Linked DNA regions of Stegostoma tigrinum. The protein of the gene in region 1 interacts with the protein of each later gene in a biochemical or structural test. Links are inferred from orthologs where the notes say so. Each region holds a gene or a part of one and is shown on either strand. Other genes may lie near its edges.

Region 1 (7,504 bases):
CCCTCTACCTTAAGCCTTGAGTCTCGTTTTGAACTCACCTATCCTTGGATAAAAAAGTTTGCGATTCACCCTATTTACTTCTTTCTTGGCTTTCTAAACCTTTACAAGGTCACCCTTCAGCCTTTGACAATCCAGGGAAAACGGCCCCAGCCTATTCAGCGTCTCCCTTTTGCTCAAAGCCTCCAACCCTGGCAATATCCTTGTAAATCTTTTCCAAGCCCTTTCAAGTTTTACAACATCCTTCCTATAGCAGGGAGACCAGAATTGCACACAGTATTCCAACAGTGGCCTGTATAGCCACAATATGACATGCCAACTCCTACACTGACCAACAGAGGCAAGCGTGCCAAATGCCTCCTCCACCACCCTGTCTACCTGCGATTCCACTTTCAATGAACTATGAGACTGCACCTTAAATGTTATGAGGGTTACTGCTTCTTACAGGCAGTGTGTTCCAGATTCTGACCACCCTCATCTCCTCAAAGTCTTTTGACCCTTAACATAAATCTGTGCCCTGGGTCATTGATCGCTCCAAGGGGAGATGTTTATTCCCATACACCCTGTTTATGCTCTCAATTTCCTCTGTTCCAATGTAAACAATCACAGTCTGTCCAATCACTCTTCATAACTGAAACTTTCTAGCCCAGGCAACTTCCTGGTAAATCCCCTCTGCACCCTCTCCAGATGATTTCCTATCTCTCACTGGCATCTTCAGACATCAAGCTTGCCTCCTGAGTGGCCAGTCTCCCACCATCCACTACATGGAGGTGAGGAGTGGGACCAAAATCACAAGTCCTCTCAGGATGAGAATAACTGAAGAATTGTGCCAAAACTCAGGATAGTATTCACTTGACCTGCAAGTTAGAAGGATGAAAGCAGCTCTATCATGGGAAGCCAATAATCGCCATTCCAAAGAGGCTGCTATCCCGTCACCAAGTCACCCTTTATTTGCACGTGGAGAAATTTTTACACTGATCCAGATTTCTCACAGCCAGCTTGCAAAACAAAATTTTACCTGTCCATAACTAGGTACATGTGACAATAATAAATCAAAGCAAAAAATGCTCCACCTGGCTGAATTCGTTACAATCGCTACAGATGCAGTAGCTAAAGGAGTCTCTTCAATTAGTGACAGGCAACAAGTATCAGCATTCTCGATGAAGCTTTATAACAAAGCAAAGGAAATGAAAAGTTTCGACATCAGGAGCAGGACGACATGTGACAGCTGAAAGGACACCTAAACCTTCTGGAGGGCAGTAGACGGTATTGGCTGCCATTCCCACTCCCGCCCAGAAGGTGGTGCTGCAGTGTCACAAGGGTATGGGTGGTGGGCCCCGAGTGGGCGCACGCTGTGGGTGGGGGCGACCCCGGGAAGCAGGTACCACGGGCTGAGGCGTGGGCCACCGTCAGTACCAGGACCAAGCAGGTTCGCAGCTGAATTAACAGTAAAAAAAATGCACTGCGAGCTGCAGCTTTAAGAAGATTTCCCAGAGCAGGATTCTCAGACCTCGTGGCGCAACGGTAGCGCGTCTGACTCCAGATCAGAAGGCTGCGTGTTCGAATCACGTCGGGGTCATCGTTTTTATATAAACTACATCATCTATATATGGAATGACGTGTTTCATTACTTAAGTGCTGCATGCATTCTATACATCTCAAAATTGTTCATTGAACAGGTATTTGCCTATTTTATATTGCTCTGATTTGTTTTATTCAATTAGCTGTAGTCTCACGTTCGCCTCCTGTAGGAATTTCTCCCCCATGATAAGAACTGCAACCTCAGGATTTGGGTAACTGAAACTGGACAGAAAACTAGACCTTAGTCGCTGACTCCAGGCACTAGTTGCTGACTTTGGACAGAAAACTGAACCCTGGACATGGGCATTGGCAAGTGACACTGGTCACTGACACTGGAGTGTGATGCTGAAGTGTTATTGCTTTTTAAAGAGAGTGGTTAAAATTAAACTAAACTTAAGATTTGAGCTGCTCCAATATGGGAATGCATAGTTCATGCATTCAGAAGCAATGACTAACACAGCTCCCAAAAGACTGGAAACTAACATGGTCCAAATGACATTGGTCTACCTAGGGAAGAAGCTACTGAACAGATCAAATGACTCAGATCTGAGTTAGTTCTTCACACACGATGGAAGTGAGGGTGGAGAAGACAGGAGAGAGGGACTTAAGGAGATGTTTTGTATTGAAGAAGGGAAGCCAGCATTTGTCAACTGTTTACAATATTTTTTCTACTTTTTTTATTTTAGTAACACCTCATACTAAATTTGGTATCAAGCTGGAAAAACCTTCAAACATTCAATATGAGATGTCATTGGATCCAGACATGGTAGGGGAAATTTCACGAGGGCTGAAGAGCTGAAGAACACTCAATGATGCTGGGTCAAGCCAGCCTTCCAGCTCCCTGCTTCTTGTGCAAAAACAAAGTTGCTGGAAAAGCTCAGCAGGTCTGGCAGCATCAGTGGAGGAGAAAACAGAGTTAATGTTTCGGGTCCGGGTGACCTTTCCTCAGAACTGCTTCTGTAGTTCTTCCTGATCCCAGGTTCAATGATCATCATATGTGCCAATCTCAATGCCAGCTTAACTGTGGGATTTAAGAATGTTTGTCCATGGCTGGCATTTCAAACCAGAAACAGCATTATGTGCTATAAGACTGACATCCACTGGCTTGAAATCTGTATGGTGAAACAGACCAAACCAGCACAAGTAACAATTTATGTACATCAAGGTTCCAAAACATATAACAGCATATGACAGAAAACATCAATGCACTGACAGCTCACTACTACTGCACTCCCTTCCTGCCCAGCTGTGAGAACCACTGCACCCCAAAAACTGAATTCATTGCTGTCACAAATCTCTAATCATTGCATCTATATGTGATCCTTCAAAGAGGCTCTCTAAGGAATTCCACTGGCAGCCTAAAGGCATTCAAAGACATTTTAAAAGCCTTTTATATTCCAAAAAAGACATAATTTACTACAAATAACAAGGAAAGCGCTTGTTTATTCCAAGGGGAATTGAACATACAAAGTAATGAGTTTATACTTCAGTTATTCAGGGTACTGGTAAGACCATATATGGAGTATTGTGTAAGTATTGGTCACTTTATCTAAGGAAAGGTGTTAATGCAATGGAAAAAACTAAGACAGACAAACAGGGTGCTGAAAGAACGCAGCAAGACAGGCAGCATCTGGAGAAAAGGAGAAATACCCTTCGGGTATTATCCTTCTTCAGAAGTGGATGTGGGGTTAGGGGGAGCTGCAGATAAAGGGAGAAGTGTAGGAGGGGAGGTAGCGGAATGTTGCAGATAAGTGGACACATAGTAGGTACAGGTGAATCCAGTTGGTGGCTAGAAGGGAGGGTCAGTAGCTGGGATGAAAGGGAGGATGTGCGCTGGGTGGGAAGGTTATTTGAAATTGGAGAACTCAATTTTGAGTCTTCCACGGTACCCAGCAGAAGATAAAATGTTGTTGCTCAAATTTGTGTTCTGAGTTACTTGTGACACTGGAGGAGGCTGAGGATGGAGAGTGGGAGGGGAATGAAATGAGCGGTGACCGGGAGGTTAGGTTGGCTGTTACAGGCCAGGCGTAGATGCTTGGTGAGACAGTCTACGTGTGGTCGCTAATCAAGTTTATACCACTGTGAAACCTCTTCAAAGGATGCCCACTTTGAAGGAGTTTTCTCCTTGCCTCAGACATGAACTCAGTGAGTCCCATTTCTCGCTGCCACACCACCACACCGTTAACCCCTCTCTTTATCTGCAGCTCCTCCTACCCCCACATCCAGTCCTGAAGAAGGGTAATACCCGAAAGGTTGCCTGCTCCTTTCCTTCATATGCTGCCTGTCTTGCTGTGCTCTTCCAGCCTCCTGTTTGTCCAGCTTAGATTCCATCATTTGCAGTTTTTTGTGTGTCTCTGATGGAAGAAGCTGAGAGAAGGTTTAGCGCAGACTGCTTTGAGGAAATGAGAAGCTGTCCTGCATCCTGTGGAGCTGTGAGGAAGACAATGTGGACCATGGCCAGGATCACCCTCCTTCTTCCCGCCTGACCCGTTACCCTGGGTTACAGCCCCACCCAGTTACTCCCTCTATCCAATTGGGGAACGTGTTAGTGCGGCCCCAGGGCCAATGACGGCCCGCGTTGTTGGTGGGTGGCAGAGCGGGAGTTGTGAGGCCTAGAGGGAGCTCGAGCCGCGATGCCCGAGTATCTGCAGGACCCGTCGGTGCTGACCAAAGAGCGGTTGAAGAGTGAGCTGATCGCCCACAGCGTGCAGCTGCCGCTCGGGGACCAGCGCAAAGATGTCTACGTCCAGCTTTACCTTCAGCACCTGACGGCGCGGAACAGCGGCCGCGGCACGGACTTCTCCAGCGATGAGGAGGCGGACAGCGGACTGGGGGCAACCCGAGGCCGGGGCCGAGCAGGCAAGGTGAGAAAGCCAGGGAGTGGGTGGCCTGGGACATTAGTAAGCCCTCCATCCCTTTCTCCCCAAGTCCCCGCTCAATGTTTATGAACGCTCCATCAGAATCAGAAAGTGGCGCCAATTTACTCAACTTCCGTTCATGTGTGAAAACCAAAAACCAACTCCACAGGCGAAACTCTTCAAACATAAACGGAAAGTGATGGTGAAACTCTGCGTAGAATTTTTGTTAGAATCCCTGCAGTGTGGAAGCAGGCTATTTGGCCCCTCAAGTCCACACCGACCCTCTGAAGAGCATCCCAGTCTATACCCTGTCCCTGTATTTCCCATCCTAGATACTGTGGGCAGTTTAACATAGCAAATCCACCGAACCTGCACATCTCCACATCGCGGAGAGAAATAATGTTAGCATTTGCTGTCCACTTCAGAACTGAATCTTTTGAAGGAATACATTGACTTCTTCAGAACTTGTGACAATGTTAACTCAGTTCCTCTGTCCATAGATACCACCAGACCTGCAACATTCTCCAACATTCTTTTTGCTCCACAATTCCAGTATCTTCGCTATTTTGCTTTTATTCACACAGGTTCAGTTAATCTTTTGTTTAACTTGCCTTTCCCATTTCACAGTTAGGAAGCATACATACCCACAGCATTCAGTCCCGCTTCTCATTGCGGCACATTGACTGCAAATATCACCAACCGTGACCCAATAACTGACCCAAGTGGTGAAATCCCAGATTTCACCCATCCATGGAAAACATGGACAATGGTTGTCAGCTTCAGGACAGCTAGGCGGAAATGTCGCCATTAGTTCCAGAAGTGGAATATGAGGAACTATCTGTCATTCAGCCTGACACCCGAACATTATTGAATGTCACTCGACTATTATTCAACTAGTTAGGACTCTCCTGGTTCCATTCATATTTTTTGCCATACCCAGAGCATATTTTTCAGTTGTTTCATTTCGTGTTCCCACGTGACTCTCATTTCCTGCTCATCCATCATTTTTGTGCTCATCTCTTGTAGGCTTCTGGCTTTCATATAACCATTATGATGTCAAAATTCTCATCCTGCATTCAAGTCCTCTATGGCCTCACTGTCACATTTTAGTTATGATTTCCTTGGAGACTGACAACTTTTTCAAAGAAGGATACCTACAGAAGGAAAACTGCTGGGCAACTTTCACTGGAGTACACTGACTAAAATTGACAGAATTTAAACATTAGCAAATGAAGACTATTTCAAGTTAAAGGATGAATTACACTTCTAATAGTTGATGCTTCAAAGATGTCACATTTAGTGTAAGCATTCATGACTTCTCACATTTGACAACTATGTCATCTTCATAAGATTTTTAGAGGTAAGAATAAAAGAAGACCATTCAACCAGCTGAGTTCGCTTCTCCATTTAGGGCAATCATGGCTGATCTCATAATTCTCAACTTCACTCTCCTGCCATTTTCCCCATTACACTTGATTCCCTTACTGAATAAAAATCCAATAATGTGAGCTTTTGAATATTAATAACACAGCCTCTGCAGCTTTCTGCGGTAAGGAATTCATGGCTAGAGTTCCCTTTGAGGAAACACCCTCCCTGTATTTGTCTTAAATGGCTGACATCTGACTCCGAGATTAAGCCCTCTGACTATAGACTGTCCTACATTGGGAAACAACTTCTCTGTACCTGCCCTGTCAAGCCCACTCGCTGCCCAGTCAATGGATTTGGCTATCAAGTCACTTTTATTGGCAGTTAGATTTTGTCTACGTACATGAGATATGGTTGACCCTGTCAGGTGCATGTCTAGAGAGCCTGTCTTTTTTTCTTGTGTTATGGCAATCCCAATCTTCTTTTTCTTTTAGACTGTTTATGACTATTTCAGTGCGTGTGATACACAATTACTGTGTTGTGTCTGTTTGTAAGGCGTCCACTCAAATCAATGCCCATCTCTAAAACTGTCTCCTTATCTATGCCTCCTATGTATATTTCTATTGACTAACACTAAGTTAAAGCCGGTTCTTAATAGGTGTTGTTATTCAGCTGCAATCCTAGTTTCACTATTTATCTCATTTCTTAATGGTAAACTTCAACTGAATTTGAATCTAACAGCTGTAACCAACTGGTAGAGCTGATGAATAGTATGCTGGAGTTTTGAGAATTTTAGTAGATAAGAAATAGGAGCAGGGATAAGCCATATAACCCTTTTCCATCATTCCATGAGATCAAAGCACAACATAAAGCTCAATTCTACTTTCCCACTTTTGTTTTTTAGCTGGATCACATTTAGAAATATGGTCACTTCAGATGCAGATTGTAACTCTTTCCAGGGGAATGGCTGGACTGTTGTTCGATGTACTCCACTGTGTCTCTGACAGAAGTTTCTGGTAAAAAGCTGCATGTGATGAACTGTTGCCCAAGACCAGATGTTGTCATAATGCAGCTGGTTTTGAAATGTTACTTCCTAGTTTGAAGTTTTGCTGTGACTTGCTAAAGTTTTTACAGTTGTTGATTCCGCTAAATTACCTTCAAACTGCATTGATAAATGTTACTAACAAATTCAGTGCAAGGATATTTTGCCTTGAAGCTGCTTTGAATAAAAATTATAACTTGCCAGTAGAAGCCAACACTCACTATCTTCCTGTTTGTAGATTGAAAATTGAATTTTTTTTTGCCAGTTATCTTTCAGTAATTTCCTATTCTTTGCAACAAATGTGTAACTCCTAATCTGGGGGCAGGGCAGTACTCAAAGGCTTCCAATTATTAAATTATTGTCCTCAGCCATAAACAGCTACATTTATCCCTTCGACCATCACCTGAGCAATAAACAATTATTCAGCTACCTCGTTTGTTTCTCTTGACTCAAATTATAAGTCTGACAGCAAAATCTGGGTTTTTGACTCTATTTTTCAAAGAAGTAGACCGTCAGATTTTCTAGAAATAAAGAATTGCAGTCATTTTAACACCTGTTTTATCTTTATTGCCTGCTGAAGGTGAAAAAAGGAAACACATTTGAGGGAGTTTTAAAATTCCGAGCTAAATGACTATTTTTCATTCACAAGACATAGGTTTTG
Region 2 (8,419 bases), on another chromosome or scaffold:
CTGGCAGTATATACCATGTGCATGGCTGACCCCAGAATCCCAAAACAACTGCCCTACTTGGAACTTAGCTGTGGCACGTCTCTTCCAGCTCGATAGCATAACTACTTTAGGGATGTTTTCCAGTCATTGCTGCTGACCCATGGGAGTATCTGTATTACCAACCAAAACAAAAAAGGTTCAGTCAGGGAGTCAGCAAACACTCCAAAAGAATTGATTAAGAATTTTTAGAGTTGAAGTCAAAGTACTGAAGAAAGGGCATAAATCTCCAATACTCCAAGTACTACCCATTGCACATAGAATCAGAATTCCTGCATTGCAAATAGAGGCCGTTCAGTTAGTCAAGTCTGCTCCAACCACCCGAACAGCATTCCACCCAGATCAAGTGCCGTTCCTCCCCCCACCTTATCCTTGTAATCCCACATTTACCATAGCTAATCCACCTAATCTGCACATCCCCGGACACTATGGATCAATTTAGCATGGCCGATCCACTGAACCTGTACATGTTTGGACTATGGGAAGAAACTGGAGCACCCAGAGGAAACCCACACAGACACAGGGAGAACATGCAAATTCCATACAGATGGTCACCCAAGGCTGGAATCAAACCTGGATCTCTAGCACTGTGAGGCAGCAGTGCTAATCACTTGAGGCACCATGCCACTCTTCCATGTGAGGTTCGTCACAGAGTTTGAAGCTCACATGTTTGTGCTCCATATGAGCTTCCACCCACTTTATTTCATCTGACCAGATTATTATATGCATCAATTTCCATTATGTCAATATCGAACTTTCGCTTAAATGCACCAAGTTATTTGTCTCAACTGTTCTATGTTTGCAAGTTCCACATTTTCTTTACTGTCTGAGTAAGAAGTTTCTTGTAAATTATTTATTGGATTTATTATTGAGTAAAATATACTTATGGCTTCTGGTTTTGGACCTCACCCCTTCTCAATTGACGATGATGCCGACACAGGATCACAAGTTTCTGCTATATGACCAAACAGGTCCATTTCAACCTGTAGATCTTTGGGCACATGCGTCAAGCTATCCCAACAGATAGCAAGATCCTGAGTACAGGGTTTTCTTTTTTCTCATTCCTTATCTACTGCCACCTGCCCAATTACTAACAGTAAGTGTTAAGACTGAAAGAATGACCCAGTTGGATGGACAAGTTATTGCTATCATGCACAATTGGTAAGAACTTATCCCGGTCATTAGCATCAATACTGCTGCACTTCAAGGAGAGCTTCAGGAATTGGTACAGAAGGATGAACTAAGGAAACTCACAATCACTAAAGAAGATGTACTGACTAAATTGTTGGTGCTAAGTAGACGGGTCCTGACTCAAAACGTCAACTTTCCTGCACCTCTGATGCTGCCTGGCCTGCTGTATTCCACCAGCTCTATACTGTGTTACTTCTGACTCCAGCATTGGCAGTTCTTACTATCTCTTCTTGACGAGGTTTGGATTGTTTTCGCTAGAGTTCAGACGAATGAGGGGTATCTCATAGAGACTTATAAAATTCTAACAGAACTGGACAAGGAGGATGCAAGGAGGATGTTCCTGATGATGACAGTGTCCAGAATCAGGGTCACAGTATGAGAATTTGGAGTAGACAATTTAGGGTGGAGATGAGGAGACATTTCTTCACACAAAGAATGGTGAGCCTGTTGAATTCATTAACACAGGAAGTAGTTGATGTCAAACATTATGTGTATTCAAGAGGTGACTAGATATAGCACTTGGAGCAAATGGGATCAAAAGTTATGGAGAGAAAGAAGGATTAGGCTATTGAGTTGGTTGATCAGCCATGGTCGTGCTGAATGGTGGAGCAGGCTCGAATGGCCAAATGGCCTTCTCCTGCTCCTGTCTATGTTTCTATGTTCATGTTTCTATGTTTGACTTTTTAAATCAGGTGAGGAACTATATGTTATTTAATTATGGATGGTTAGGGAATATATTTCATAAAGAAAGCCATATGTCACTGTTCAAAACTGAGATAATTGATCATGGTTTTGTTATTATTTTACTGTTTCAGTTAATATAAACTTAGCATAACATGTATGGGAATGTTTTGAAGTAAATGGCTTTTTATCAAATATAGTTATGTTTTAAAGTGGCTTAGTTAGGTAACAAAGTGTGTAACAACCATATTGAGTATATATGTGTGTGTACGTGCATCTGAACTATGTATATGTGTCATTTCGAACAACGGGAATGATGATTAATCACTAAAGGGTGACAAAATCTAAGCAAATGCACACATTGTTCATTGATTCCAGCACGTCTTGGTAAAGATCTATGGAGTTAGTAAACTAAGAGAGACAAGCTGTTATAAAAGGGGTGATCTTGCAAAATAATTGATGTGAAAGAATGAATCACATTACTATTGGAAGTGATACCAGTAAGTTGACCATTGCTTCAAAATAAATCATTCAGGAATAAGGCAGATAGTACCTAGCCAATTCAATACTGACCATGAGATGTTCATGTACTAATCAATGGGGTGGCACAGTGGCTCAGTGGTTAGCATTGCAGCCTCACAGTACCAGGGACCAAGGTTCAATTCCAGCCTTGGGCGACTATGTGGAGTGTGCATATTCTTCCTGTGTCTGTGTGGGTTTCCTCCAGGTGCTCCAGTTTCCTCCCACAGTACAAAGATGTGTAGGTTAGGTGGATCAGCCACGCTAAATTGCCCATAGTGTTCAAGGGTGTGTGGGATATAGGGGAATGGGCCTGGGTGGGATGCTTCAAAGGGCAGAGTGGACTTGTTGGGCCGAACAGCCTGTTTCCACACTGTAGGGAATCTAATCTAGTGAGCCAATTAGAGTTTAGAATGCCTCAGATCATGTAGAGCCAGGGTTAGGACTGCGTTTTAATGGTTCAATTCATAAGAAGCTAAAAGGCAGAAGGAGAATTTCAGTCAACAAAACAGAATGAGAGGCCTGTGCCCAGTTAACCCATGTCACAAAGTGGTATTCTAAACTGGATTGACTATAAATTTACTGTTTATTAACTACTATTTCTTATGTACTGGTTATCAAAAGCTTAATAAATTCTTTAAAACTTGTGAAAACATATTTGTACTTGGAATAGGACTTGTAAGTATTCAGTTCTTTAAGACTAAATTTGAGAGAGCCAGTCAATAATTGTAATTGACTGACGTCTTGTAATTCAAGTTAAAGTGCACCCCGAAATCTTACAGCAACAGCACACACAAATGATGTTAAAATGAAAATGGCAATGCAAAACAAAAAAAGCCCAAAGAATAAAAAACATCAAAACAAAAATATGTTAAGCAAGATGTCTTAAATTGTGGACTTGCTTTATAATCTTCTGTATATATGTAAAAAGTCAAAAGCCAAGAAAAGACAGATGGATTATTTTGTGACAAGTGTGAAATGACCTCCTTTGGCTGGAAAAGTGGAAAAGTAGATTTAAGTTGAGAAACTGGTAAATGCTAATAATATTCAGTGGGACCAGTGTGCGCTTCTACAAAAATCACAGGAAGTTAACGTGTAGGTACAGCAAGTCATGAGGAAAGCAAATGAAAATATGAAAACACCTTTATTGCAAGGGATTGGAGTATAAAAGCAGAAAAGCCTTACTGCAATTGTATAGGACCTTGGTCAGTCAGCAAGTGTATTAATGTGTAATTTTGGTTTCCTATCCGAGGAAGGATGGATTTGTCTTAGAGGCAGTGCACCGTAGGTTAATTAGACTGACTCTGGTATGAGGAGATTGTCCCATACAAAAAAATTGAATACACTATATCTATATATCCATGACTTCTAACATCCTACATCTATACAACATCTCTAACATCATGAAAAGTTCCAAGGTACTTCACAGGAGAATGATAAAATAAAGATACAGTCACATAAGGTCATGTATGAGATCAGATGGCCAAAAGCTTGGCATTAATAAGAATTTTAAAGAAAGAAAGAAAGAGGATTGGAAATATGAGTGGAAAGAAGAGGAAATTTCAGAGCTTAGAGCTAAGGTAACTGGAAGTACTAGTGGTGGAACAATAGGGAACGCATATGATACCTATTCTGGAGTGTAAAAATCTTGCTAAAACTATATAAGGTACTATTCAGATAACAGGTGGAATATTGTGAACAGTTTTATCTAAGGAAAGATACACTGGCATTGGAGGTAGTCTAGAGAAGGCTTGTTAGGTGATCCCAGCTTTGGAGGGACCATCTTATGGGGAGAGGTTGAGTAGGCTGGGCCTGAATTCTCTAAAGTTTAAAAGAATGAGAAGTGTCCTGACTGAAACATTCAAGATTTTTGGGGAACTTGATGTGAAGGGTTGTGTTTTCTATGGGAGAATCCAGGACCAGAGGTCATAATCTCAAAAGAAAGGATTCCCTTTTAAAACAGAGATGAGGAGAGATTCTTCTCTCAGAGAATAGTGAATTTATGGAATTTTTTAACCCAGAGGCCTGAGATTCCTAATCAGTCATGGAATCAAGGGTTACAGAGAAAAGGCTGTAAAGTGGAGTTGAGGATTATCAGACCAGCCAAGAATGGCAGAGCAGACTCACCAAGCTGAAAGACCTACTCCAGCTTCTATGGTTTTATGGCCGTCTTATGATTTATCTCCCACTACTCAAACAGTGCAATGAACCTCATTAGAAGTCGAACAGTTTTAGACTAAAAAATGTAAACTGCTTCCTCGTTTCTCCATTGACCTGCTGAGCATTTCCAGATCTTTCTGTTTTCAGATCACTCGTGTTCTTGTGAAAATAAACAATTGTTTACCAATATGCTGTACCATTTACCTTTTTATCATCGAAGCTGTACGCGTTCACCATATGGTGAAATCCCTGTTCACGAAAGATTTATGCACATACAACCTTAACGGTTTATCGATTTTCGTCAGCACGATAAATATAAACGAGAAGCTGTTCAAATAACAAAATCTCATAAATTCCGAACCTTAAGTCATGTTTAATAAAACAATTCGACTAATCCATTCAACTTCTTTCACCCTCCAGTCAACCTATTACAATATTCTCCTAATACGGAGAGCAGTTCAATATGATGCGATACATGGGTCATATCATTCAATATAAGCATCATCACATCTACAATTATCGCTGCACCGCAGCAACACGGATTCTGAGAAACAAAACCTCTCCACGATCAAACAACTGTAATTCCTGGTTAACTAATTCTCAACGGATGCATTTGGCCTTATTTAAGTCATAAGCGGAGAACATGTTGCAGCTATACGGTGATTTACATTGGAAAATTAATACTTGGGAAACTTTACAGTGGACGGTGTTTAAGGACCGGTCTAGTCTCGCGGTACAATTGGCCCCTGCAGATAGTCACGTTGTGTGTCTCCAACACCAAATCCAGGAGCCATTTTAACAGCGGGAGCTAGTGATCGTGCAAGAGAAGCGCGAGCACAGAACAAGGGGAAAGGAAAATCAGGTGCTCGCGCTTCTCGCATTGCTTTGGTTATTTTGTTTGAGGAAGAAAAACATTGCGCGTTCACTTCATTTGTTTGCTTTAGTTTTTATTTACAAAATAAAGTTTAAACAAAAACCACTGACTGGAAGTTATGGCGACGGCTACTCCAAGGAGCCAGCCGCGTCCAAGCGGCCGGAGTGCAGCCAGCTCCCCGCTCAGTCCGACCCGCATTTCCCGGCTGCAGGAGAAAGAGGAACTGAAGAACCTCAACGACAGGCTCGCCGTATACATCGAAAAGGTACGCTCGCTGGAGTCCGAGAACAGTATCCTGCAGTTGCAAATCACCGAGAGGGAAGAAGTGACCAGCCGAGAGTTGACCGGCATCCGGAACCTGTACGAGAATGAGCTGGCGGACGCTCGCCAATCTCTGGACGAGACTGCGAAAGAGAGAGCGCGGTTGCAGATAGAGCTGGGGAAACTCCGCGGGGACTACGACAACGTGCAGCAAAAGTAAGGCTGACTGAAATTTGGGGTGCACACCTCTTCGATGGTAAAGTGTAATTTTTTTAAGGCGGATAAATGTTTACTTTAGGAGTTCACGTTAGCGATGTGTACTCCTATTGGCGTACATGTGGATTAAAATGTGTATGTGAGCTTCATTTAAATTCTAGTATCGAACTAGTGTCGAGGGGAAAATATTACTGGATTTGTGCGGTTTGTTTGTTACCGATGGACGTTTTAAAATTACTTTATTGACGGTAGTGATTTGAGATTTTTCCGTTTTAAGTAGACTAGCCTGTCCTTTTAGAGGCACTAAGTTCATTGTGTTTGTATAATTTTACCGTATCGTATTTTCATAAGGAGTGATTGGGTACTCGGACGAATATCTGCGGCAAGTTCCTAGGGAATTCCTTGATGTAGAGTTGGTCGGTTTGTACTGAACAGCTTTTTTTAAAAAAAACAATGCCCAGACTCCCATCTTTTTCCAATAAACCATTGGACAGATGGTGTCTGAGTCTTCGACATCTCAAACAGCAATTTGTTATGGTTTTAAGTGATATATTTTCTAGCCTGTGAAATCTGAATCTTTAAAGCCAGCGTCCACGGTTTTATATAGGAATTGTTTCTTATCTCTAATTACATACCAGTTGTAATTGGCGCTGGTTGAATGGACCCGTCTGTCAAGTTATTACACAGGCTGCCCTTATATGGGCTGAAGGCTCTGGCGCTTTCTACTATCTTTTCTTTTTGGTGTGGGGGAAGGGATCCCTAAAATCTCAGCTCTTCGAATACTACATCATAGATTCGATTTGTGTTTGTACTGTTAAAATGGCGAAGTAGTTCGAGTTCCATAGTAAACATTTATTTATTTTTGTTCACTGGGGGGTGTGTTTTGACGTGGGGGGGGGGGTAGTGATGAGTTGGTATTGGACAATAGCCATCCAACGCGTGGAAGCGCCGCTGTGCAAACAAAGAGCGGCTCCGTTCAGCCGCAGGCTGGGTGCCTCCGAAACCAATTGAATGAGAACTTTCCATAAATATCCCCCAGAGAACTATGCCGCACGTAAGGTTACATTGTAACATTTCTCGTTTTATTGCGCTATGCGGGTTCGAAGGGTAGTAGCCGAGAATGTGTATAGCCTGATAGGAATAAAGAAGCTTTATCACCCTCTGAGGGAGGCGTGCTGTAAGGGTGACCGCATCTACAAGTATTTTTTTAAAAAGTGTCACTTTTAATATTATCTTTATATACATTATTCACAACTTCCGCGACACCACCCGTCATCGCCACCACATTCTCCATTTTTTTGTGTTAACAGTGGCAAGAAATAGATTTTCGTGAAATCTCCAGGCGCTCTTACTTAGATTCCCCTGTTTACTGTGCTCGGTCATAGATCATTATTCTCTCCACCCCCCGCAGGTAAGTTTCTGTGCGATGTTTGTTTGCAACAACTGATCAGAAATTGTTTACAACTAAGGGCGGTTGTTGGATACATGGTAGCTTCGTTAATGCATCTATCAATTATTTCATAAATGATTCAATTTTTTTCCACGCTCTAGTGCGGTTGAGTATGCTTACACTTGTGATTTACGATATGAAGGTGAAAAATCATCCTTTGTTGTATGGAATCGCCTTTTTGACATTAATTTTAAGGTCTGAGATAAAACGAAGGGAGACATTTGAAGATAATAAAGTGCGAAGCTGGATGAACACAGCAGGCCAAGCAGCATCTCAGGAGCACAAAAGCTGACGTTTCGGGCCTAGACCCTTCGTCATCCTCTGAGGTCTAGGCCTGAAACGTCAGCTTTTGTGCTCCTGAGATGCTGCTTGGCCTGCTGTGTTCATCCAGCTTCGCACTATTATCTTGGAACTGCAGATGCTGGAGAATCCCATTATCTCAGAGTCATTTGAAGTCTGCTTGGATAGCTTGCTGCGTGGTGTCATAGCTTGATGTTGAAGCAGCCCTGATAATGTTGCCTTTAAAGTGAGAAGGTGCAAGGTGACCACGATAGCAGCCTCTTTGCCAACGGTGGATAGTCTGAACATTTCCACAGTCCCTGAAATTTTAAACTGTTCCTCTTTCTTTCCAAGGTGGAAAAGTTGAGCGCTCTGGAAGACCACATGGCTTACTTCTGCTCTTATGAAATCAGGGCTGCATTGATCATCACCCATTCTACTTTCCAGTCCTTTCCCAAATTAACCCTCAATTCTCTGACTGATTCCAAGACCTGTTTATCTCAGCCTTAATCACAAATACAGCAAGACCTGGGCAACACTGAGGCTTGAATCGAAAGTACAAGTAAGATTCATGGTGCATGTGCCAGGCAATAACCATTTCCAATAAGAGAAAATCTAACCACCATCCTTGAATGCCCCACTGCCAACATCCTGGGTGGGGTGGGTTACCAGAAACTGGACTACACTGGCCATATAAATCAAGGCCACAAGAACAGAGGTGGTGCAAGGAATATTGCAGTGAGTAACACACT

What was found.
Region 2: the proteins of lamina-associated polypeptide 2, isoforms beta/delta/epsilon/gamma-like (region 1) and lmnb1 form a complex in vitro, tested with the Homo sapiens proteins (2 studies listed by BioGRID). The link is inferred for Stegostoma tigrinum from reciprocal best matches to the Homo sapiens genes TMPO and LMNB1.

The regions. Positions count from the first base shown.
Region 1 is NC_081378.1:53,061,442-53,068,945, forward strand, and holds the start of lamina-associated polypeptide 2, isoforms beta/delta/epsilon/gamma-like, read left to right. Parts: upstream 1-4,143; 5' UTR 4,144-4,211; coding exon 4,212-4,442; intron 4,443-7,504. UniProt on the Homo sapiens protein: May help direct the assembly of the nuclear lamina and thereby help maintain the structural organization of the nuclear envelope. Possible receptor for attachment of lamin filaments to the inner nuclear membrane.
Region 2 is NC_081356.1:68,866,263-68,874,681, reverse strand, and holds the start of lmnb1 (lamin-B1), read left to right. Parts: upstream 1-5,146; 5' UTR 5,147-5,579; coding exon 5,580-5,938; intron 5,939-8,419. UniProt on the Homo sapiens protein: Lamins are intermediate filament proteins that assemble into a filamentous meshwork, and which constitute the major components of the nuclear lamina, a fibrous layer on the nucleoplasmic side of the inner nuclear membrane.